Linked DNA regions of Rattus norvegicus. The protein of the gene in region 1 interacts with the protein of each later gene in a pairwise test. Links are inferred from orthologs where the notes say so. Each region holds a gene or a part of one and is shown on either strand. Other genes may lie near its edges.

Evidence for each region. The genes of interacting proteins can lie anywhere in the genome.
Region 2: the proteins of Homez (region 1) and Eloa interact in binary tests that used the Homo sapiens proteins (3 or more experiments, as listed by UniProt). The two-hybrid records come from large-scale screens. The link is inferred for Rattus norvegicus from reciprocal best matches to the Homo sapiens genes HOMEZ and ELOA.
Region 3: the proteins of Homez (region 1) and Def6 interact in binary tests that used the Homo sapiens proteins (3 or more experiments, as listed by UniProt). The two-hybrid records come from large-scale screens. The link is inferred for Rattus norvegicus from reciprocal best matches to the Homo sapiens genes HOMEZ and DEF6.

The regions. Positions count from the first base shown.
Region 1 is NC_086033.1:32,303,757-32,312,555, forward strand, and holds the start of Homez (homeobox and leucine zipper protein Homez), read right to left. Parts: upstream 5,719-8,799; 5' UTR 5,694-5,718; coding exon 5,669-5,693; intron 1-5,668. UniProt on the Homo sapiens protein: May function as a transcriptional regulator.
Region 2 is NC_086023.1:153,515,298-153,522,862, forward strand, and holds part of Eloa (elongin-A), read right to left. Parts: intron 7,318-7,565; coding exon 7,211-7,317; intron 5,758-7,210; coding exon 4,578-5,757; intron 4,121-4,577; coding exon 4,006-4,120; intron 3,572-4,005; coding exon 3,416-3,571; intron 3,314-3,415; coding exon 3,216-3,313; intron 2,710-3,215; coding exon 2,529-2,709; intron 1,786-2,528; coding exon 1,674-1,785; intron 935-1,673; coding exon 756-934; coding exon of another isoform or gene 628-755; exon of another isoform or gene 217-627; coding exon 155-216; 3' UTR 1-154. UniProt on the Homo sapiens protein: SIII, also known as elongin, is a general transcription elongation factor that increases the RNA polymerase II transcription elongation past template-encoded arresting sites.
Region 3 is NC_086038.1:6,287,198-6,294,385, reverse strand, and holds the end of Def6 (differentially expressed in FDCP 6 homolog), read right to left. Parts: intron 6,116-7,188; coding exon 5,949-6,115; intron 5,863-5,948; coding exon 5,664-5,862; intron 3,611-5,663; coding exon 3,520-3,610; intron 3,358-3,519; coding exon 3,137-3,357; 3' UTR 2,662-3,136; downstream 1-2,661.

The DNA.
Region 1 (8,799 bases):
GTTGATATTTACAAGACATTCTTCTGAGTCACAATATACAATGTCCGTTGTTTGGTGGGTAAGATGAAGAAAGGGATACAATGTCCATTGTTTGGTAGGAAGATGAAGAAAGGGAGAAATGGGACGTCTTAGCTGGGTAGCCCTTAATTACCAGTGAGCAGATCATTCCCCTCACAACACTCTATTGGACTGGATTGCTTGGGAAGAATCTGTGCTCGAATGGCTGGGAACTGAGGGAGGAGCCAGCCGTCTGTGGGAAGCAAACACCTGACTCTGGAAAGGTTCTGGCCCCTGTGGGCACTGCATGCACGTGGTACACAGACACTTATGGCACGGAATACTCAAACATTTCAAAGTGAGATAGTCAAAAGAGGGGGTTGGTGTGAGGGAAAAAATACACAAAAAGAAGAAACCCCTGTTCTAGGTTTACTATGAGCTTTAACCTCTGGATTTAGAAGTTGCTGTGGACTTGGGTGTGAAAATTACTGAGCAGTCATCCAAACACAAACACAAAAGGAGCCTGTGATTAGCAGGATAACAACCGTCTCAACTCTTCTTGTACTTACGACCAGGGGCTCATGTTATCCTCAAAGGCTCCCATCTTTGGTGAGATTTTTTTTTTCCTCGGGCTTGCAAGAGGTCTCAGCAGCAAAGACGCCCGCTGCCAGGCCTGAGTGCTTGAGTCGAATGCCATCAGTTTGGTTCCCGGGTCACACATGATGGAGAGAACTGACTCCAGAAAGTTATCCTCTGACCACCACACTGCCCATAGCATGAGCCCATTCATACACATATTTATGCACCCAGGCGCACACTCAAAAAAGGTCATTTAAAAAAAAATGTCCTGGGCTGGAGAGATGGCTCAGTGGTTAAAGCACTGACTGTTCTTCCAGAGGTCCTGAGTTCAAATCCTAGCAATCACAGGGTGGCTCACGACCATCTGTAATGAGATCTGGTGCCCTCTTCTGGTGTGTATGGAGACAGCTACAGTGTACACATATACATTAAATAAATACATCTTTAAAAACAAAATGTCCTAGCAGAGTGTAGTGACACACACTTTTCATCCCAGTGTGTATTGTTGTCTATATGCAGGTGAGGGCAGGCACAAGATAAGGCAAGGTGTGTGACTGGGCAGAGAAAAGGTAAGGCAGGCACAGAGTTTTGGAGAGGGGAGAGAGAGGAGAAGGTGGAAGAAGAACCAAAATGGAGGCAGAGAAAAACAACCCAGATCTGTGTGGCCTTAAAGGGTCACAGGTAGTTATGAATATTTTATAAGGAATAGATTTTTATAGGACAATTTGTCTTATCTAGGTGGGCAGTTTATATCAATATTAATTGGTTCAGAATTATTGTATGGATGTTTTATGGGGTGAGAATTTACGGATATAAATCTGATAGATAAATTATAAGCTTTTAGAGTTTTGATTTTACCGGGATACTGGGAGTTTTGACTATAACCACAGGGGGCAGATGCTGGGAATGAGTCTGCAGCAAGAGAGCCACGAGATAGGCGGTCTCTGTATGGAGCTGGGGTGGCAGCGACCATGGCAGTCTTGGAAACTAGGTGGATGGTCACTGATGGGGCTAGTCACTGAGGCGGAGAGACAGAGAGTAGCCAGCGGCAGCATGGGATGGAAATTGGACACTTAGCGAGTCGGGTTGAGATGATTTGCTGATTAAGATGAAAATACCCCCGCAGATGCTGCCTGGCCCACCAGAGCTGGCAATATGGTGTATCTTTTTTTTTTTTTTAAATATTTACTACAACATCCCAGCACTCAGGAGGTGGAAGCAGGAGGATCTCTGTGATTTTGAGGCCAGGCTGGTCTACAGAGTACATTTCATGACAGTCAGGGCTGATACACAAAGAAACCCTATCTTGAAAGAACAAACAAAACAAAATTAAAGTAAAAAAAAAAAAAAAAAGAAAGTCCTCCTTTTGAATGGCTGAGGTACTGGCTGACCAGAGGAATAATTGGCCTATGGAGTTCCAGAGTCTCTCCCTTAACAGACCTCTTGCAAAGCATTGAGAAGCCCAGCAACGTGTTAACATGGTGGTAAGTCGTTGTAACGTTTGGAAATATACCTAGTGGAAAGGCAAACTTGCTAAGATCGATGTGCCCTTCCTTTCTTAATTCTCCCTCCATCAAGCTTCCCCCTTTGTCCATTGGCAATGACTGCCATGGACATCTTGAGATTGGCTGAGCTAGGAAAACATTAGTTGGGGCTTAGTAGGGTACTTATGTGACTTTTCAGTTATGCCTATTTTTTTTAAAGATTTTATTTATTTCATGTATGTGAGCACACTGTAGCTGTCTTCAGACACACCAGAAGAGGGCATCAGATCCCACTGGATCCCAGATGGTTGTAAGCCACCATGTGGTTGCTGGGAATTGAACTCAGGACCTCTGGAAGAGCAGTCAGTGCTCTTAACCGCTGAGCCATCTCTCCAGCCCCTTCAGTTATGCCTATTAAAAACGTATTACCCCATGGCAGACACAGTTTCTGGACTGAATGTCCTTCCTTCTCCATGGTAAAACAGCAGTGGGCAACTCCAGTGTCTCACAGTGCGGGATCTGGAGGTCTTGGAGGCGGCGATTAATGTCTTAAGCTCTAACACGATCTAACCTGACTGTAGTCCTAACAGGGAGATTCTGACATGGCTGGGACTGTACACGGGGAACCATGTGAAGGTCCAGTGACACGGTGGCACACAGCTGTAATCCCAGCACTCCGAGTGGCAGAGGCAGAGTGATCACATTCAAGGCCAAGTCCAGGGGCAGCGAGCGTGGGGGTGGAGGAGACTACGATAAGGAAAAAGCTCAGAATGGAATTATTATCTTCATCTTGGGCTTCTGGTCTTCGCTCAGTAATAGAGGTGGGAGCCCCAGCACTGAAAACAGAACCCGGACAAAAACTAATTACATGAAAAGAAAAAAAAATAGGGGTTGGGGATTTAGCTCAGTGGTAGAGCGCTTGGCTGGAGAGATGGCTCAGCGGTTAAGAGCACTGTCTGCTCTTCCAGAGGTCCTGAGTTCAATTCCCAGCAACCACATGGTGGCTCACAACCATCAGTAATCATGTCTGGTGCCCTGATTCTGGCCTGTAGTTGCATACATGCAGGCAGAACGCTGTATGATGTATACATAATAAATAAATGTTTAAAAAAAAAAGGTGGGGCTGGAGAGATGGCTCAGCGGTTAAGAGCACTGACTGCTCTTCCAGAGGTCCTGAGTTCAAATCCCAGTAACCACATGGTGGCTCACAACCACCTGTAATGAGATTGGATGCCCTTTTCTGGTATGTCTGAAGACAGCTACAGTGTACTTATATATAATAAATAAATAAATCTTTAAAAAAAAAAAAAGGTACAAGATGCTTCCTTTCCGCCATTTTGTTCTGCCATCCCTAGTCTAATACCTTACACCAAATATGAAAGAAATGGTCCATTTTTCCGAGTTTGGAAAAAATGCTGTCTGTCTTTTAAGACACATTCTCAATAGTAGCCAAGGTTCATTCACCTGCTAGGCTAACCTTGCCTCCAGGCAATTCTTCTCCATTGGCCTCCTGAGGGCTAGAATTACCAGTGTGAGCTATTATGCTTGGTCTGAAATTTTTTTTTTTTTTTCCAGAGCTGGGGACTGAACCCAGGGCCTTGCGATTGCTAGGCAAGTGCTCTACCACTGAGCTAAATCCCCAACCCCCTGAAATTTTTTTATAACATAATCACTGTAACAGGCCCCAGACCTTGCCACAACTGACTCCATGATGGAAATACCATTTAGGCTGTAAGACTCAGCACGGAGATAGCCTCCTGCTAAACAAAAACAAAGGCCCAATCCATCGAAGCTGATGAGAGTTCTGGGAAAGTCTCAAGATATACTAACCTTGCTTGTTAGCTTGTTAGTTCCACTTCTGTTGTTAACTGAAGACATGGTTTTTGTGCTTAAAAGCTCACTCTGAGAAAGGATCAGAGCTCTATTGGGACCCTGAGTACCCAGTATTGTCACCAGCTGACTCATAGACTTCCTATTGGCTAAAACCCGTGTCCGGGCAGTCTTCTCTGGTGGATACTCCACAAGTCACAATGTGTAATTCTTTTAAAATTACCATAACCTGAAAATTAACAGTATGCTAGAAAACTGAAATCCTTTCTTGTTTGTTTTTCCATACAGGGTTTTTCTGTTACCTTAGCTGTGCTGGAACTCACTGAAGAGCAGGCTGGCCTCTAACTGAAAGATCCAACTACCTCTGCCTCCCCCGTGCTGGATTAGAGACGTGTGCCACCATGGTTCAGAACCTTATTCTTTGCAGTAAGTATTAGTTACCTGTTCTATGAAAAGGCTGTCAGTGCAGCAGGGTGGGTACAGCGCGATGGGTGCAGGCGCCTGCTGCCTGGCCTGCTGACCTAGGTTTCATTCTAGGGGAACCACACCCTGGAAGAGGGACGCCATCCCAAAAAGTTGCCCTCTGTCTCTATGTGTGGGTCTTGAACACACACAAATAAGCCAGGTATGGTGGTGCATACCCTTAATCCCATCGCTCAGGAGGCAGAGGTAAGTGGATCTCTGTGAGTTTGAAGACAGCCTGGTCTACATAGTGAGTTCCAGGACAGCTGGGGCTATATAGTAAGACCTCCCATCAAACAAACAACAAAAACAAAAAAGTTCAATCTGATTTTTTTTGGTATCCAAACACATGGAAAAAAAATTGTTTGCCAGGTAGGTAATTTTTCATCAGCTTTTTTTTTTTTTTGGTAGCGTGCATGTATGTGGGGGTTCACGAGTGTTTTAGATTGATGCCAAATCTTCCTTGATAGCTCTCCACCTCAGCTCTCTCTTTTTTTTTTTTTTTTGGTTCTTTTTTTTCCGGAGTTGGGGACCGAACCCAAGGCCTTGCGCTTCCTAGGCAAGCGCTCTACCACTGACCCCCTTTCATCAGCTTTTTAAAAACTGTAACTGATTTGCATTTCCCCAGTCCTTAAACGTTCACTTTATGCCCAATCTTGTATTTAAAATTTGTATTTTCGGGCTGCAGAGATGGCTCAGTGGTTAGGAGCACTGACTGCTCTACCAAAGTTCTTGAGTTCAAATCCCAGCAACCACATGGTGGCTCACAACCATCTGTAATGAGATCTGACGCCCTCTTCTGGTGTGTCTGAAGACAGCTACAGTGTACTTACAGATAATAAGTAAATAAGTAAACAAATAAATAAATCTTAAAAAATAAAATTTGTATTTTCTTCTTAAAAGTTGTATACTTTAGGATACAGAAGTTTTACTCGACTGTGTAACCAAATGACCATGTTCGGTTTCGTCCAGTGTTTGGTGTCTCCTCTCCTAAGAAATGCCAGAGGTCAGGGGAGCTCTAAGGCTGAATGGTCACCAGTGCAGGTGTTGGGAATCTGGGATGGATTTGAAACAGGAAAAGCTACATTAAAGCTCTCTGTGAAAGAAAGAGTTCAGGGGTTGGGGATTTAGCTCAGTGGTAGAGCGCTTGCCTAGGAAGCGCAAGGCCCTGGGTTCGATCCCCAGCTCCGAAAAAAAAGAACCAAAAAAAAAAAAAAAAAAAAAAGAAAGAGTTCAGATCAACCCACCATCAAACTAAGATGTCCAAGTTGGGAAAGAGGCTAGGGCCACGGAAGCCCTGCCCAGCCTCCACCTACCTCTCTCTGGGTGTCTAGTCCTCATGCTGACTCTTCCTTCACATATGTACTTCGCTTTCAAAACGTACTGAGTGGGTGCTGTGCAATGACATCACAGCTCGACTATTATGACGTAATGAGGAGGCCAGTGACTGTGCTCCAACCAGTGTCGGTGTTCTGAGTCTCATGATGGAAGAAAGCAGGCCACTCAAGGATGTGGTAAGGCCTTGCTGGCCCCAGGGAGAGCCAGCCACTGCAGACTGAATCTTGAACAACTGTACAAAGGCGTATTTACTGATTGTTACAGAGAAGTTAGTGTTTGGGTGAAACTGGTTCCTCATAACAAAGCCCCTGACCTGACCTATGTTTAGGGAAGGAGACATCACACCTCTGTGACTTCATGTTTATTGTACGCTGTCTCCAGTACCCAATAAAGCACAGCACTCCAGGTGTGCCTGGAGCTGTGACCAAAGTCATGGAAATGCCATGAAGCTCCTTCAGTAATACAACTCTATCAATCACAGGAAACAACCGCCATTTTCCACAATAATTCCTTCCAGGTCTACGTCCTTCTAGAAAAGAACTATTCATTCTATTATTTATCAGAGATACAATGAAAACCATTCCATGCTAATGTTTACCCTAGACAATGGTTTTACTTAGAATTACACTACAAACTAGGGCTTCCCTATCAGGTCTGCTGTTCTCATTACCCTGTGGCTGATTCCATTAGTAGATGAAGCATCCCGACCTAAGAGGAAATTAGCTTCTCCCAAGCTGGTCCCTTTAACCACACAGCTCGTGCTGGGTGCCAGGCAGCTAGAGCTTGGCCCTCCAGACTTTCCCACTGTCCAAAATGGTAAAAGGATCTGATTGGAGTGTCTTGGGTCAGGGTTGCCAAACCCTCTGTACCTCTTTCTCACCCAACGTTTACATGATCCAAGACTCCATTAGGGTTGGGAGGACAGCTCAGCGGGTAAAGGTACTATGTTACATAGCGTCATAAAGACATCACCTTGACACTGGCTAAAGTCATCTGAGAGGACGTAACCTCAATTAAGAAAATGCCTCCATGTCAGGTGTACACCTTTGATCCTGGCACTTGGGAGGCAGAGGCAGGTGGATCTCTAAGTTGGAAGCTAGCCTGGTCTACAGAGTGAGTTCCAGGATAGCCAGGATTACACAGAGAAACCCCTTCTCAAAAAACAAAACAAATAGAAAGAAGGAAATAAATAGAGTGAAGGAAAGAAAGAGGGAGGAAAAGAGGAAAGAAAATGCTTCCAAAAGTACAAGCCTATAAGGCATTTTCTTAATTAGTGATCGATGGAGGGGACCCAGCCCATGCAGATGGTGCCATCCCTGGACTGGTGGTCCTGGTGTTGCAGGATTTCTGATCACACTGTGAATCCCAACATTGTGTTGTTTACTGGGGAAAAAAAAATCTGTTTCTAGTTGTGGTGTGGTTCAGCCCTAGTCCATGCCTTTAACCCAAGGGCTTTCTGCTTGGATATTGTAAACAGGATTAAATATAGTCCACCTTAGGTCAAGAGACAGAGCAGGCAATGAGCTGGGAGGAAGTGAACAAAAAAAATCTGAGAATAAAAGAGAGTCAGGAGGACAGAGACAGGAAGTAGAAGGGAGGACATTCTGTTTGAAGAGTTCTTGAGACAGCATATAGAAAGGCCTTTTGAGTTCTTGGCTATGGAGAAAGGTCAGCTGGGTGCTTTCTCTGTCTCGTTCCTGAGTCTTCATTGGTAAAATTAAACGATTGAAATTTTGTTAAAAAACAACACCTGGGTTCTATAAAGAAAGAAGGCTGAGCAAGCCATGAGGAGCAAGCCAGGAAGCAGCAGCACCTTCTATGGCCTCTGCATCAGCTCCTGCCTCCAGGTCCCTGTCCTGTGTGAGTTCCTGTCCTGACTTCCTTTGATGATGAACAGCAATGTGGAAGTGTAAGCCGAATAAACCCTTTCCTCTCCAACTTACCTTTTAGTCAGTGTTTCACTGCAGCAGTAGAAACCCTAGGAAAGACAGGTACTTGTGGCAAAGCTTAAAGATCTGAGTCCCATGGAGAGATGGCTCAGTGGTTAAGAGCACCGACCACTCTTCCAGAGGTCCTGAGTTCAATTCCCAGCAACCACATGGTGGCTCACAACTCTCATGCCAGAGGGATCTGATGCCTTCTTCTGGTGTGCGTGAAGACAGTTACAGTGTAGTCCTGTAGATAAATAAGTCTTAAAAAAAAAAAAAGATCTGAGTCCCATCTGCAGGAAAGGAAAAAAAAAAAAAAGCCAGCTCTTCCAAATCATGCTCTAACTTCTGCCCTCCCAATAAAGAAAAATTATTAAATAGTAACTAGGTATGGTGGCTCAAGCTTGTCATCCAAGATGAAGCAGGATTATGAGTTCAAGGTCAGCCTGGATTACATAGGACCTGGCCAGCCAGAGCTGTAGAACAAGACTTACAAAAAATAGATAAGACAGATGATCAAAATGTGAATGCTTCACTCCTTCTTTAAAAGGGGAACAAGAATACCCTTGGCAGGGAATAGAGAGGCAAAGATTAAAACAGAGACAGAAGGAACACCCATTCAGAGCCTGCCCCACATGTGGCCCATACATATACAGCCACCGAATTAGACAAGATGGATGAAACAAAGAAGTGCAGGCCGACAGGAGCCAGATGTAGATCTCTCCTGAGAGACACAGCCAGAATACAGCAAATACAGAGGTGAATGCCAGCAGCAAACCACTGAACTGAGAACAGGACCCCCGTTGAAGGAATCAGAGAAAGAACTGGAAAGCTTGAAGGAGTTCGAGACCCCATATGAACAACAATGCCAAGCAACCAGAGCTTCCAGGGACTAAGCCACTACCTAAAGACTATACATGGACTGACCCTGGACTCTGACCTCATAGGTAGCATTGAATATCCTAGTAAGATCACCAGTGTAAGGGGAAGCCCTGGGTCCTGCTTAGACTGAACCCCCAGTGAACGTGATTGTTGGGGGGAGGGCGGCAATGGGGGAGGATGGGGAGGGGAACACCCATAAAGAAGGGGAGGGGGAGTGGTTAGGGGGATGTTGGCCTGTAAACCGGGAAAGGGAATAACACTTGAAATGTAAATAAGAAATACTCAAGTTAATAAAAAAA
Region 2 (7,565 bases), on another chromosome or scaffold:
GAGGCACAGAGGGGGACACCTGGAACTGTGCAGGAGTCAGAGGCCAAAAGTTCCACAGAGCAAAAGATACGGGTCTTCTGTGGACATCCTCTTCTCCCGTCCCCATAGTCCCTGTAGTCCTGCTTCCAGACTCAACCTCCAAGGCAAGTCCTGTTTATCGTCGGGAAAATCTGTTCTTGAATGCTTTAATGGTCTTGGCCATCATCGGGGCAATTTCTGTGAAGAAAAAGGAGACAGTTGCTTCAGATTGGAGGCAGGACAGACATATGCCACTGTGGTTCATAGCAAAGCCAGGCTAAGTTTGTTTTCCATGGCTGTGTATCTCACCTCCATGCACAAATGGACTAACCAGCAGGAACTGTCTGAAAAGGTGCCAGAGAAACCCCGTCCTAAGGCAGACCCCGTAGGTGCAGAACCAGCAGCATCTCTTACAGCTTTTGAAGACTGGCTGCTGTGCTCATGGATAGCTCAAGACACAAATCAGTCAGAAGTCTTTGCTGACCTTTGGGGCCATAATGCCGACAATTTAACTTTGTAACACACACACACACACACACACACACACACACACACACACACACACACACACACGTATCCAGAGCCTCCAGCCCCCCAGAGCAATGGGTCTCAGGATGAGCTAATAAGCATGAACACCTGAGGAGGGCCAGTCTGACTTGGCTGGTGTTCTTTGTCCGATAACGTCTGTGTCAAGATTCCCCACCAGCCCACAGCCTGCTCCCACCAAAGTTGCTTACTCTTCACAGCTGGTTTCCTGGGATCATAGGAAACAGAGCTGCTGGCCACAGGAGCTAAGTGGGCACTGCTGGTACTGGGCCCTTCGTAGGCCAGCTCCTCAGGACTTGAGTGGAAGCTGCTGCTGCTGTTGCTGGCAGGAACATGGCTGCTTCCTGTTGTATATGGTGCTGGCTTAATCCTGAAACACGGAACAAAGCTGATAATTAGCTGGAACACAGCACACAATCTAACAGAGCTGTTGCTGGGTGACTGGGTGACTGCGCTGTGGCTCTGTGCGGTGGCCTGGTACACTGAGTCCTGGTGAAGAATCAGATACAGCTGTCAGCCCTTTATTGAGAGTGACAGTCACACTAAGCTTTTCCTGTTAAAATGTCAGTCTATCGGGGCTGGGGATTTAGCTCAGTGGTAGAGCGCTTACCTAGGAAGCGCAAGGCCCTGGGTTCGGTCCCCAGCTCCGGAAAAAAAAGAACCAAAAAAAAAAAAAAAAAAAAAAAAAAATGTCAGTCTATCATTTGGAAATGCTCACATGCCCTAAAAAAAAATGTAGTCACCCTGGGAATTTGTTTTGCTTTGGTATGTATATGTATGCAGATGTGGGGACCATGGGCAGAGATGTTCATGTAGAGGCCAAGCCGACCTTGGGTGTCATTTCTCAGGAGCCACCTAATTACGAGATAGAGTCTCCTGCTGAGATGGAGCCCGCCCTGCAGGGTCGGGTCCTTCCTCTACAGGAGCACACGTGTAAGAAACGGAAATGCTCCACCTCAGCAATGAGAAGGGACACTAAGGCAGAGGGAAAGTGCAGATCCAGGAATCATTCAGGAACGCACTCTCCAATGCCTGCCGCCACCACAAAGTCAGGCACTTCCTGCCCCCAGCTCCCCTTCAGGGTAACGACCACGCAGCAGAGATCTTGCCTGACTTTCTCAGGGACAGCTGCTCCCCCGGTTCCAAACTTCTCCTGCCTCCGTCGAACATCTCTCGGTGGCTTGGCCACAGAGTTCACAAAGGCCATCTTTGCTTGTCGTCCTGAGTAGAAACACAAAACATCAATATTTACCTTCATATGAAAGGCACCCAATTTGAGAGTCTAGAGCAGTGGTTCTCAACTTTCCTAATGCTATGACATTTAATACAGTTCCTCATGTTGTGGTGACCCCAACCATAAAATTATTATTTTTTTTTAAAGATTTATTTATTTTATATGAGTACACTGTTGGGGCTGGGGATTTAGCTCAGTGGTAGAGCGCTTACCTAGGAAGCGCAAGGCCCTGGGTTCGGTCCCCAGTTCCGAAAAAAAAAAAAAAAGAACCAAAAAAAAAAAAAAAAAGAAAAATGAGTACACTGTTGCTGTCTTCAGACACACCAGAACGGGGCATCGGATCCCATTACAGATGGTTGTGAGCCACCATGTGGTTGCTGGGAATTGAACTCAGGACCTCTGGAAGAACAGTCAGTGCTCTTAACCTCTGAGCCATCTCTCCAGATCACCCATAAAGTTATTTTTTATGGCTACTTCCTAACTGTAATTTTGCTACTATTGTGAATGGTAATGTAAATTTGTCTGTTTTCCTCAAACTAGGGTTCTAGGCAACTAGTGAAATGTTTTTTGAACGCCTCAAAGGAGTCACAACCCAGAGACCACTGGTCTAGAGTCTTCTAGAGCTCCAAACCAGGGCTCCTCAGGTCCTGTGAACCCAATCTCTGAGCAGCCAGAGGCAGGAGACACAGCCCCACCTGGATGCCCTTGCCCAACCCCACACTTCCTGTACCTTTTGGCTTATTGGCATGTGCAGACCGGATGTTGTTTGTGAGCAGGCGCAGCCGCTGCTCTCGGGCGTCCTGAAGCCTCAGGTACATCTCCCTCCAAGACTCATACTCTTCTGGTCTTTCTTCCTTAAAGTCCCGGTGACAGTGAACTTTCCACAACTGATCTGTTTCCTCAATTAATACCTGGAACCAGGACCAAGACTTCTATACAACTTTCCCACACATCTCTCCATTACCTACCCATGACCCAATGCCTATGGTGTGGGAGAGGGAGGGTGATGTGGTAGCAGTAGTTACAGAACCACACTACTGGGAAGAAGGCAAATCACTAGATAGATAGCAGGAAGCAGGCGTAGTTGCTCACGCCTTTACTCTCAGCACCCGAGAGGGAGAGGTAGGTGGGTTTCTAAGTATGAAGGGTAGCCTGGTCTACACAGTGACTTCCAGGAGAACCAAACTCTGTCTTGAAAAAAACCAAAACCAAAAAATTAGCCAAACAATCAAAACAAAAAGGCTCCCAGGAGCAGACACAAAAAGTATGCTTGTGTAAAGGTCGAGACGTGCAAACCAAACATGCCCAGAACAGTGATTTGCCCTCTGACCTGCCCTTCGGCCAAGGCAATCCAGAGACAAAGCTACCTTTGGAAAAAGAGCCAGGAAGGTACGCCATTCCCACTTAGGGCACTCACATGATTGCATTCCTCTATTCGGTAGAGCTGATCGGGTGTGCACCTCTCCAAGACAGGTTCAAGAACAGAATAGGGGACTCCTCCCACTTCAAAGATGGCTGCAGAGAAACCAGAGGTGAGAAGGTGAGTGCTGAATGGCAGCCAAGCTCCCTGTGACAAAGTCCCAGGGCAGTAGCATAATCAAGAGATCGGTGACTCACAGTCAATATTATTCTTAAGCACCCGGATACACTGCTGGTGCAAGGTCATCATTTTGGGGAGATAGGCACACTTGGAACCTGAATACACCTGCATCTTAGAATTCATTCTGCGTCCTGTGAACCCAGCTTCTTCTTCTTCCTGGGGTGAAGAGAAAGCTGTAGAAAGAAGAAAACCAGCAAATCACAAAAGATCTCCAGCCCATAGTGAAGAGCCCCCACACGGCAGCCCATCACTTTTTTTTTTTTTTTCTTCTTTTTTTCGGAGCTGGGGACCGAACCCAGGGCCACTGAGCTAAATCCCCAACCCCGGCCCACCACTTTCTAACTCCGGCAGCAAGGGCTCCAACAGCCTCCTCTAGGGACCTCCTTGGGCAGCACACACACTTGGTGAACAGACATAGATGCCTGCGAAACACTAATGCAGGCAAACTAAAAATATAATCTTTAAACCTAGCACTTGGGAGGCAGAGACAGGTGAATCTGACTTCAAAGCCAGCCTGTTCTACAAAGTGAGTTCTAAGGCTACACAATTTTGAAACAGACTCTTTTTCAAAAAAATGAAAATAAATGAAAAAGATGTCCAAAATTACCTTTTCGCTTTGGCTGAAAGGAGGAGATCAACTCGAGGGAGGGAAGGGGACGATAGTTGGTTTGTATGGCGGGCAAGGGGATGTCTGGCAATGCTGGCAGCACATCAGTAGGGACCTGCAAGAGAGAGTGCAGAGCCCACCCTGTGAACCCAGCTTTCTTCCCTGCAGTCGGCTAACCAAGCATACCATACAGGCAAGCAGGTCAAGGAGAGGGAGCTACAAGTCACCCATGACACCAGTTAGGGTCACTGAAATAAATGCTGATAGGGCAAAAAAATGTCTTAGAAAATTGTGAGGCGCTAAGAAGTAAATGTAGGGTCTCATACATTCTCAGTGAGTACTGTACTACTGAGCTTCCTCCCTAGCCCGGAATAAAGCTTATCCTGTCACTGTCCACCTTAACTGCTAGCATGGCTGAGAATATTAATAACGATCAAAACTCAACCAGTTGAATGGCAGCAGGACAGTGGCCTGGCGGGTTGTACGGTAAAGAAATCATATGGCAGCAGCGGCCTGGCAGGCGGGCTTTCCACACTTGGCAGGCAGGCAGGAGAGACAGAGCAGTCAGTTACCTTTCTAGGCCTCGTGGGTTCGGCTCCAGCTGGCTGCAACTTGTCTGACTTGTTTTCATTCACCTTGGGTAATTTCTGAGCCGAGTTCAAGTTTTTACTAGTGCTTTTAGAGTCCTTCTTTTTAAGTCCTTTTTCTCCAAGTGCTGTACCGGAAGTTTTCACAACCTTCTTCTTTTTCTTGCGGGGCTGGTCATAGCTGAGGTATGACTCAAAGGACATGGTGGGCTGCTCAAACTCATCATCCATGTCCATCTCTTCTACTTTAGGGAGTGAGCCTGGTGACTTTCGATCCGAGTTAGTTCTTACTTTCCCCTCCTGAGCCTTCAGGTTGTTGGGAACTTTATCCTTGGCTCTGGGTAATGGGTCTCCTGTCCCTCGTCCTGAGTCCACGCTATCTACACTCTGCTTGTTTTTGTCAGACTTGATTTTCTCGGAGTCCTTGTGTTTGGGCTTTTTAAAGTGGTTGTCTGAAGCAACATCTAAGGCAGGTGACAACTTCTTCTTGAGGCTGTTGCCTTCTCTGTCCTTCTCTTTCTTGACAACACTGGAGGGCAGCTTCTCCTTGGCACTGTCCTCTGAGAGTAGCCTTCGGCTCTCCTCTTTGGAAGAGGCTTTGTGTGACTTCTCTCTGCCCATGACAGAGCTCTTCTCATCCCCCCTGGCATCCACAGGGCGTTTCTCCTTGTGGGAAGATTTGTGTGGCTTGTTTTGGCTAACAGCCCCTTTCCCTTGGTGCTCACCCAGGTGACTAACCCCTAGTCTGTCCTGAAAGGTATTACTGTGGACTTTCCCAGGCTTCGGGTGTGAGACGATGGGTTCCTGGTCCATCTCTGGGGACCTAGAGAGGTCTGTATACATTTGATGGGGACTTGAAGGTGGAGGAGATTGAACATGACCATAGTCAGACGACTCGGGGTCTGAAGAATATGGTGGTGACACTTTGTGACACCTCTTCCTTTCATCTCTCCTCTCGTGACCATGAGCCACTTTGTGAGGCCTTTCAAGCTCAGGAAGTTTTCTGTGCTTTTTCTGTCTGTGCTCAGGGCTGTAGGGCTGGCTGCCTGAGGCTTGCCAGCTTTCCTGGTAGTTCCCCTCCGCTTCCTCCTCCTGCTGGGGAACATCTCGGGGACGCTTGCGGGAATTGCTCTTCTCAAAATCCTGATCCTCAGCCTCATTGTTTCTAGAACAAAAGCCAGAGCAGAAGCAGGTCTCAGCATTAGCCTCTTCCAAGTCTCAGACCTGACCTCAGCCATGGAGGCACAGGCTCCATCCCAACACTTGGGTGGTGGGTCAGGAACTCAGATGCTCAAGGCAGTTCATCCTCTGCTACAAAGCAAGTTCAAGGCCAGTGGGCTACAGAAGACCCTGCCTCACCACGAAACAAAACAAGGACCAGGCCACAAGTGCTGGCTCACACCTATAATTCCAGTACCAAGGAGGCTGATAGGATTGTTGAGGAATCAGATGTTCAAGGTCACCATGTTACATAGCATGTTCAAGGCTGGATTAGATTGAGTCACAGAATGAGACCATGTTTTAAAAGAAGATATTAAGGCCAGTCTGACAGCTCAAAAGATAATACTTGTCATGCAAGCCTCAAGATCCTAGTCCAATCCCATGGTGGCAGAAGAAAACCATTTCTTAAAAACTATCCTCTGATCTCTGAGCACAGTTCCAGCCACTTCCACCCTTAGTATGCTTGCTAAGTGAGAGAATCTGTGCTCAGTCCTCAACATACCTGTGCTCAAAAAACACCCAACAAAATGTTAATGTTTCTCATTAAAAAAAAAAAAAAAAAAAAAAAAAAAAAAGAATTGTACCCTGGCATGTTGGCCCATTTCTTCTTCTTTTTTTTTTTTTTTTTTTTTTTGGAGCTGGGGACCGAACCCAGGGCCTTGTGCTTGCTAGGCAAGCGCTCTACCACTGAGCCAAATCCCCAACCCCGGCCCATTTCTTTAATTCCAGCACTCACAGGCATAGGCAGGCAGATCTCTGAGTTCAAGGCCAGCCTGGTCTTGAGTTCCAATGTGGCTATAGTAAGAGACCTTGTCCCAAAAACCAAAACCAACCAACCAAAAAAAATTTAAGAAAAAAAATATTTGTTTGCATTTTTACATATTTATTTCAATGAGAAGCCTGCACTATACACACATGGAGGCCAGAGGACAACCTTAAGGAGCCAGAGCTCTCCTTTCACCACATAGGTTGCAAGGATCAGTAGTTAACAGCACTGACTGGGGTTGGGGATTTAGCTCAGTGGTAGAGCGCTTGCCTAGCAAGTGCAAGGCCCTGGGTTCGGTCCCCAGCTCCGGGAAAAAAAAAAAAAAAAAAGAATAGCACTGACTGCTCTTCCAGAGGTCTTGAGTTCAAATCCCAGCAACCACATGGTGGCTTACGACCATCTGAAATGAGATCTGATGCCCTCTTCTGGTGTGTCGGAAGACAGCTGCAGTGTACTCATATATAATAAATAAATAATAAATAAATAAATAAATCTTTAAAAAGAGAAAATTTATTCTCGATACTTTATCATATATTCTACAATAACCTACAATAATAGTGGGTTGTTTTTAAAATTGAGGTAACACAGTTTGACATGTGAAGCAGAACAAGCAGAGAAGAAATGTTCTTACCGTTCTACTGGAACCAGCTTCTTCCACTGGGCAACCAGGTCTCTGGCAAAGTTTCCCACTTGCTCATGTTTCCGAAAGCTGTTCACTGTTTTCCCCACCCCAGTCTCCTATAAATGTAACACAGGAATTGATTGAGGATTCTGAGCCTAAAGGCATGATTTTCTACAGAAGTAAAACTTCCTGTTGGAGAAAAGCAACAAATACATACTCCTCTAATAAAACACCCAAGCCTTATGCTAAGTTACTTTGTAGTCTATGTTCAGATGTCTGACACAAAGTAATGAAGCCCACAGGTTTAGAGAAGGTCATCAGAACAGACCAGAACCACAGACTGTAACAAGGAGGGATAGGGTTT
Region 3 (7,188 bases), on another chromosome or scaffold:
GCTGGAGAGGCAGCCCCTGAACAGTGAGCGGTAAGAAGGAGACATTCACAAAGCCCTAGTTGCTGTACTAAGCTCTGCAGAAACAAAGCAGACCAGGCAAGCCCGGGCAGCCTCCACTCATAGTCCTGGCACCTGCTTCCCTCTCCTCCAGTTTAGTTATTCCCACAGCACACGGACTTTGGGCTTCACATCCCGTCCCTCTGCTCTGCACCTTCTCACGCTAGTGGCTGTTTCATGGCACTTTAAACGTCACACACTTCCTTGAAAGAGCATCGGGTGCACTTGCAGGAGCTGCGAACTTTGTGATCAGATAGCGAGGAGCAAGCTCCGGGAGGGCGGGAACCCTTCCCCTATAATAGTTCACGCCAGGGCGGGAACCCGGGTAACAGCTCACACCCAGCATAACGCCTGGCCCATGGTAAGGAATCACCAGGTTCCATGCTGGACGGGCTTGAGCTGCAGTCGCAGCAGTATCCTCACATTCTAACTGCTCCACGCCCAGTCGTGCATTGCACTCGCTCACACAGCTTTCTCAGGAGCAAACCCTGTGCCAGGCATTGGGGACAGCGTTGAGGAAGACATGTCCTTGCCTTCAAGGACCTCCAACATTTGGAAATGAGGAGGAAGGACTTCGTGGTGAGACCTAGAAGAGTGAGAGGGAGAAGCCGAGGCTATACCCCTGAGGTAGAACTGTAGCAGGTCTTCTTGGCTTGATGAGCAAGGCCCTCGTGTCCCACAGTGCACAGGGGCAAGTAAATGTGACCCACAAAAGTCAAGCTGCAGGTCCAGGGTGATGGCTCGACAGGTAAAGGCACCTGCTGCCAAACTTGGTGTCTTGAGTTTGATTCCTGGTACCACATGGTAGAGAGAGAGAACTGACCCCTGAAAGTTGTCCTCTGACATCTACACGCTCACCATCACACAGAGAGAGAGACAGAGAGAGAGACAGAGACAGAGACAGAGAGAGAGACAGGAACACACAGAGACACACCACACAGACAGACAGAGACACACACATGCAAAGAGACAGAGAAGACAGACACACAGAGATACGGACACAAAGAGACACACACAGAAAGAAACACAGAGACAGATTTAGAGAGACAGAGAAGACAGAGACACACACAGAGAGAGACAGACACAGAGACACAGAAAGACAAAGATACACACAGATAGACAGAGACAGGGAGACAGACAGACAGAGACACACAGAGAGACACACACACAGAGCAGACAGAGACACACAGAGACACACACAGAGCAGACAGAGACACACAAAGATACAGAGCCCAAGAGACAAACAGACAGAGACACACCGAGAGACAGAGACACATGCACAGACAGACAAAGAGACAAAGGGACAGAGTCACACACACACACACACACACACACACATGTGCACACACATGCAGAGAGAGAGAGAGAGAGAGAGGAGAGAGAGAATATAATTAAATTAACTCTTGGATATAACTGAGCCTGATTGTCCTTACCTGTAACCCCAGCCCTTGAAAGACTCAGGCAGGAGCTTGCTGAGTTGGAGGGCATCCTGGGCTACACAGAGTGAGAGCCAGTCTTAATCACTACAAAGCCTTCTGGACAGCAGCAGGAGTCTGGAAGGGAGCAACACCCCTGCTGTTTGGAAATCCCACCCAGGGAACAGAATTGGAAGAGTGCCAGGGAAGCTCTTATTTAATGAGGAGCTGACAGAGACTGGCGTAAGGCAGTGGCCACTGGCCATAGCACCACAGGGATACTGACTTATTAAATGTGGGGGCAAATGGAGAAGTCAATGGTTCGAACTCTGAGCTATGAGGATGGGGAAGGGGGTTGTATTAATGACCTCTGTGTCACTGTGACACTGACACAAACAACTGAAGGGAGGAAAGACTTCTTCCGGCTTAGGTCTCAGAGGACTCTCACTCCATCATGATGCGGGCGGCATGAGGAAGTAGGTCCATCGGAGGGTGTTTACATCTGGGAGGACAGCAAGCAGAGAGCATAGAGTGACTCTCTTTTCAGGAAGGTCCCACCTGCCGGAGGCTCAACGGTCTCCCAGAAATAGTGCCCTAGCTGGGAGACAGGCATCCGACACACGAATGAGGGGACAGTCTAGACACAAACCATTCTAGAGAGAGTTACAAGGATATAAAGAACGGTGATCCCAGTGGACGTCCCAGGTTTGGGATGAGGGATATAGAAGTGGAAGCAAACTCCGTGGAGTCTAGAATCTCAGATGTCTTGTCTGGGAGAAGCTCAGTTAACATAACAGTCACTCAGCACTTAGGGTTTCGTTGGGAATGAAGTAATGTGGGTGGCCTCAGGGTAGACAGTAAATGCTCAATAAACACCTCAGACACTAGTGATGACAGTGCTCGCAACTGTGCCAAGCGCGAGCTCCACTCAGGAGGCTACATCAGGGGCTATGACCCTCTCCATAGGCCCATGTTGGGGGATGAAGTTCACCTGTGAGAAAGTGGCAGAGCTGAGTTCATCCCACAGTCCGTGTTCCTTAATTGCCTCACCACACCTGCTGCCCCAGAGACCTAGAACTTGAACTCAAGGTGGGGGGAGGGATAAATGGAGGGAGGGAGGGAGGAAGGGGCAGGAGCAGTGGGGAGGTGTGAGCAGTTTTATTTGGAAGTATGTCTCTGTGACTCGATCTGGAGGGAGGGGCGTGTGATCTTTTTTTATTTTTTTTTTTTTAAGAAAAATTTATGTTACGTGTACAGCATTCTGCCTGCATATGTGCCCGAAGGCCAGAAGAGGGCACCAGATCCCATGACAGATGGTTGGGAGCCACCATGTGGTTGCAGGGAATTGAACTCAGGACCTCTGGAAGAGCAGACAGTGCTCTAAGCCATCTCTCCAGCCTAAGGGGCATCTTGGTCGTTCCTCATCTTTCCCAGCTCTGGCCCCAGTGTTCTTTAGGACAAAACCATATTCTCAAGTATTAATATCCCGGACAGCCTCCATGGTCTCGGCCTGCTGAGAATGGCAACCTAGTCCGATCCTGGACTGGCTTTTGGTCAGCAGGTGGTAGCACCAGGACTTTACCAGAGGCGGGAGTCACCCACAGGTCTGCTGGGACCAGGTCCGTGGACACAGCATCGGAAGAACAAGGGGGTCTCATCGGAGGCTAATTTTCTGGCGCTGCATCCAGTTTCTCTTCCTGAGAGGCCAAAGCCAGGATGGGAGTCTCGTCCCCACCATTGAGGGACTTCTGTTCGCTGCTGTTGGCCGAGAGGGTTCTGTTGCCTTGGGACCCCCAGCGGGTCAGGCGCTTTAGAGAGGAGTCACGGCGGGCGAGCGGAGGGGCCTGGAAGCCGGTGAAGGAGCTGCTGGTGGTGGGACGCTTATCTGGTGGAGAGAAGAGACGGACAAAAGGGGAAAGTGAGTCGGAATGGGAGAAGAGAGGCTCATGCCTCGGCCCTGGGAGACCTTTGATCTTTCAGTTCCACCTCCGTGACCCGGGAGATCTGGCAGCCTCCCTTTCTCCCTCCCAAACTGGGGAAGGTTCACCTCCAGGCTCGATCGGATGCATGAGCCTGTTCATCTGGACGTTCCAGTGTTTCACGTTGGTGCTGGCCTGGCGCAACTTCCTCTGGGCAGCCTGCAGGGCAAGGTAGTGGGAGTGGGTCAGAACTGCCATCCGTGGAGTTCTGCTGTCCCCGTCAGGCTCAGAGGCCCTGAGAATCTGATCACAGCTACCCAGCTCCTCCCTAGGAAGGCTGGGCATGGCCGCGCATGCCTGTAGTGCTAGCCCTTGGGATGTAGACACAAAGGGCGGTCAAGGCCTGTGCTACATAATGAGTTAGAGGCCAGTGCGGGTTGCAGGAGCTCCTGCCCCAAAAAGGATGGGGGAAGGGAATTTGAGAGTGTTAAGAGCACTTGCTGATCTTTGCACAGGACCCAGGTTTGGTTCACAGCACTATGGTAACTCCAGTCCCAAGGGGATCCAATGCCTTCTTCCAGCCTCTGAGGAGTCTTGCATGCATGTTGGGCATATATATATATACAGTCTTCACCATCATCACCACCACCATCATCATCTACCGAGCTGCTAAGATATGCTGAGTGCCTTTACAAATTTATCTAACTTCCTAGACAAAAGTTAACAACAGTCAGATTTGAAACACGTTCAGTGTCCTACCCAGGAACATAGGCTGGGTACCAAAGCACTCAAAGCGCTGTAGGACAAAATTCTCCTGGACCTCACAGGAGAGTCTGCTCCAGCATTCAGAGCCCTAAGCAGGGGTCCGGTGGGTGGGCAGATCCATTCCTTCCCATGTTAACATTTCTGTGTTGTCGTAGGTGGCTGTGAGCTGGGTGCTGGGGGCTAAACCTGGGTCCTCTGTAAGAGTGACAAGTGTTCTTAACCACTGGGCCACCTCTCCAGTCTCTGTGTTGTTTTTCCAATGACTCTGCCAGCCAGACAAAAAAATAAATAAATAAATAAATAAATAATAAATGCTTTTTAAAAATTTATTTTTAGAGGTTGGGGATTTAGCTCAGTGGTAGAGCGCTTGCCTAGCAAGTGCAAGGCCCTGGGTTCGGTCCCCAGCTCCGAAAACAACAACAACAACAACAACAACAACAACAATAAAAAAATTTATTTTTAACTGGGCTGTTGGTCTGTAGAGTGGGTTTCAGGATAGCCAAGGCTTCACAGAGAAGTTCTGTCTCGAAAAACTAAAGGCAAGGGCTGGAGGGATGGTTCAGAGGTTAAGAGCACTGGCTGCTCTTCCAGAGGTCCTGAGTTCAAATCCCAGCAACCACATGGTGGCTCACAACCATCTGTAATGTCCTTCTCTGGTGTGTCTAAAGACAGCTACAGTGTACTCACATACATAAAAGGAATAAGTCTAAAAAATTTTTAAAAACATTAAAAATATGGGCTGGAGAGATGGCTCAGTAGTTAAGAGCACTGACTGCTCTTCCAGAGGTCCTGAGTTCAAATCCCAGCAACCACATGGTGGCTCACAACCATCTGTAATGAGATCTGATACCCTCTTCTGGTGTGTCTGAACACAGCTACAGTGTACTCATATATAATAAATAAATACATTTTAAAAAATAAAATAAAATAAAAATACATAATTAGGCTGGAGAGATGGCTCAGTAGTAAAAACATTGGCTGCTTTTAGAGGACCGGGGTTGGGTTCTCCCACCCACATGGTGGCTTAGAACTGTAACTCCAGACCCAGTCGATCCAACAACTAACACCTTCTGGCCTCTATGTGCACTGTTCGCACGTGGTGCACAGACATTCATGCAGGCAAAGCACACATACACATACATTTTAAAAAGTTTAACAAAAGATTTTTTAAAAACTCCACCAAAACAACGACAATATACCAAACTAGAACCTTTTCTACGGGCATTCAAGCTCTAGGAAGTGTTTGGGGGTGGGGCGGGGAGGGATTCTACCCAGGTTTATAGCACTATTGGCAAACCAGCTGCATGAGATTCGGCATTTGCATACTAAATACCACGCATAAAATACACTGCTTCCTCTCCCGGATGAGAGACTTCAGACAGTTTAGGCAATTTGTAGGCGATAACACAGCCAGCTGAGGATAATGCGAGTTTGAAGACAGGTCTGGAGGTGGGAGCTATGACATACTGCCTCCCCCATCTTCTACGGTTCCCGGTCGGAATCTCACCTCCACGTCCTCGTCTGCCCTCTGCCGGTTCTGCCGCACCTCCTCCAGCTGCTGCTGGGCCTGCTGCAGGGAACGGCTCTGCAGCGCCATCTCCTGCTGAAGCTCCTGCTTCTCCTGCTGCGCTCGCTCAATGTAGCGCTCTTGCTCCTCCTTCAGATGCATCAGCTGCTTCAGCTTCTCCTCCTCCTCCTCCAGCAGCCTGCCGGAGTGCACAGGGACGTCTCAGAGCCCAGGAGGGTCCGCGTTGGCGCTGGCAGGAAAGGTTCCCTTGGCTACCGTGCCTACCTGGTCTGGGCGAGGCGCACGGCCTCCTCATCTCGCCTAGCTTTCACCTCCAGTTGCAAAGCTTCCTGCAGCCGCTCCTGCATCTCCTCCAGCTCCGCGATGCGCTGCCGTTGCCGGGCCGCCTCTTCCTTCTTCAGCTCCATCTCAGCCTGCATAGAGGCCCGGGCCTGTGGGGAGCGCCGAGCCGGTCAGTGGGATGCGGGAGAAGAAAGACAGGCTACTGCCTCCCTCCAACTCCCAACCCTGGCTCTTTAGTTGGGGTTTCCTGATCTGAGCTGTTCCAGACCCTGAATCTTCAGATTATTCCTGCACTGGCTTTAGAAAGAATAATTAGATGCTTGCCGGGGCTGTAGCTCGGCAGCAGAAGGCTTGCCTAGTCTGCCCACAGCCCTGTGTTCGCTACCCAGCCTCGCACAAAACAACACCAGTTATAATTACATGTAATTAAACATTATAATATGTTCTATTGCAATAAACCAACATTAAACGAAGGTAATCCCTTCCTAGCTCCTACCCTAACAATTATAATATCATTATGGTGGGTGCCAGGGACAGCAATTATTAAGATAACCCAAAGTTATTGAACTCTTATTTTTTTTCCGAGACCAAGTTGCTCTGGGTAGCCCGGGCTGTCCTGGAACTCACTCTGTAGACCAGGCTGACCTTGACCTCAAAGACATTCTCCTGCCTCTCCTCCCGAGTGCTGGGAATAAAAGCGTGTGCCGCCGCCACCCAGGTTATTATTATTACTATTAATTATTATTTTATTACTTTATTAAGGTTTTTATTAGTTTGTGTGCATGGGTGTTTTGGCTGCATGTAAGTCTGTGCAGTACATGAGAGCACTACCCAGCGGCAAGAAGAAGGTGCGGGATCCACTGGCTGGCTCTGAGCTCCCATGTGTGTGTACAAGCTCAAGTTGGGTCCTCTGAGAATGCAGCCAGTGGTCCTAACTGCCGGGCTATCACGTGAGACCCAATTTGTTCTTTGAGACAGGATCTCAGGTAGTTCAAGGTGGCCTCGAACTCCCAAAGTAGCAAGGATGTCCTTGAACTCTTGCCTTTCCTGCCTCCACACCTGCCTGGCTTTATTAAATTCCTTCTGTCTTCCCAGAATCCTCATCCGATCCCCATGAATAGAGTTCTGGTTACTGATACGGAGAAACTCAGTGCGTGTCTGAGCCCATACAACTCTTGAGGAGGTGTAATGGGCGGACGTGCCACAGCATGCCTGTGGCGGT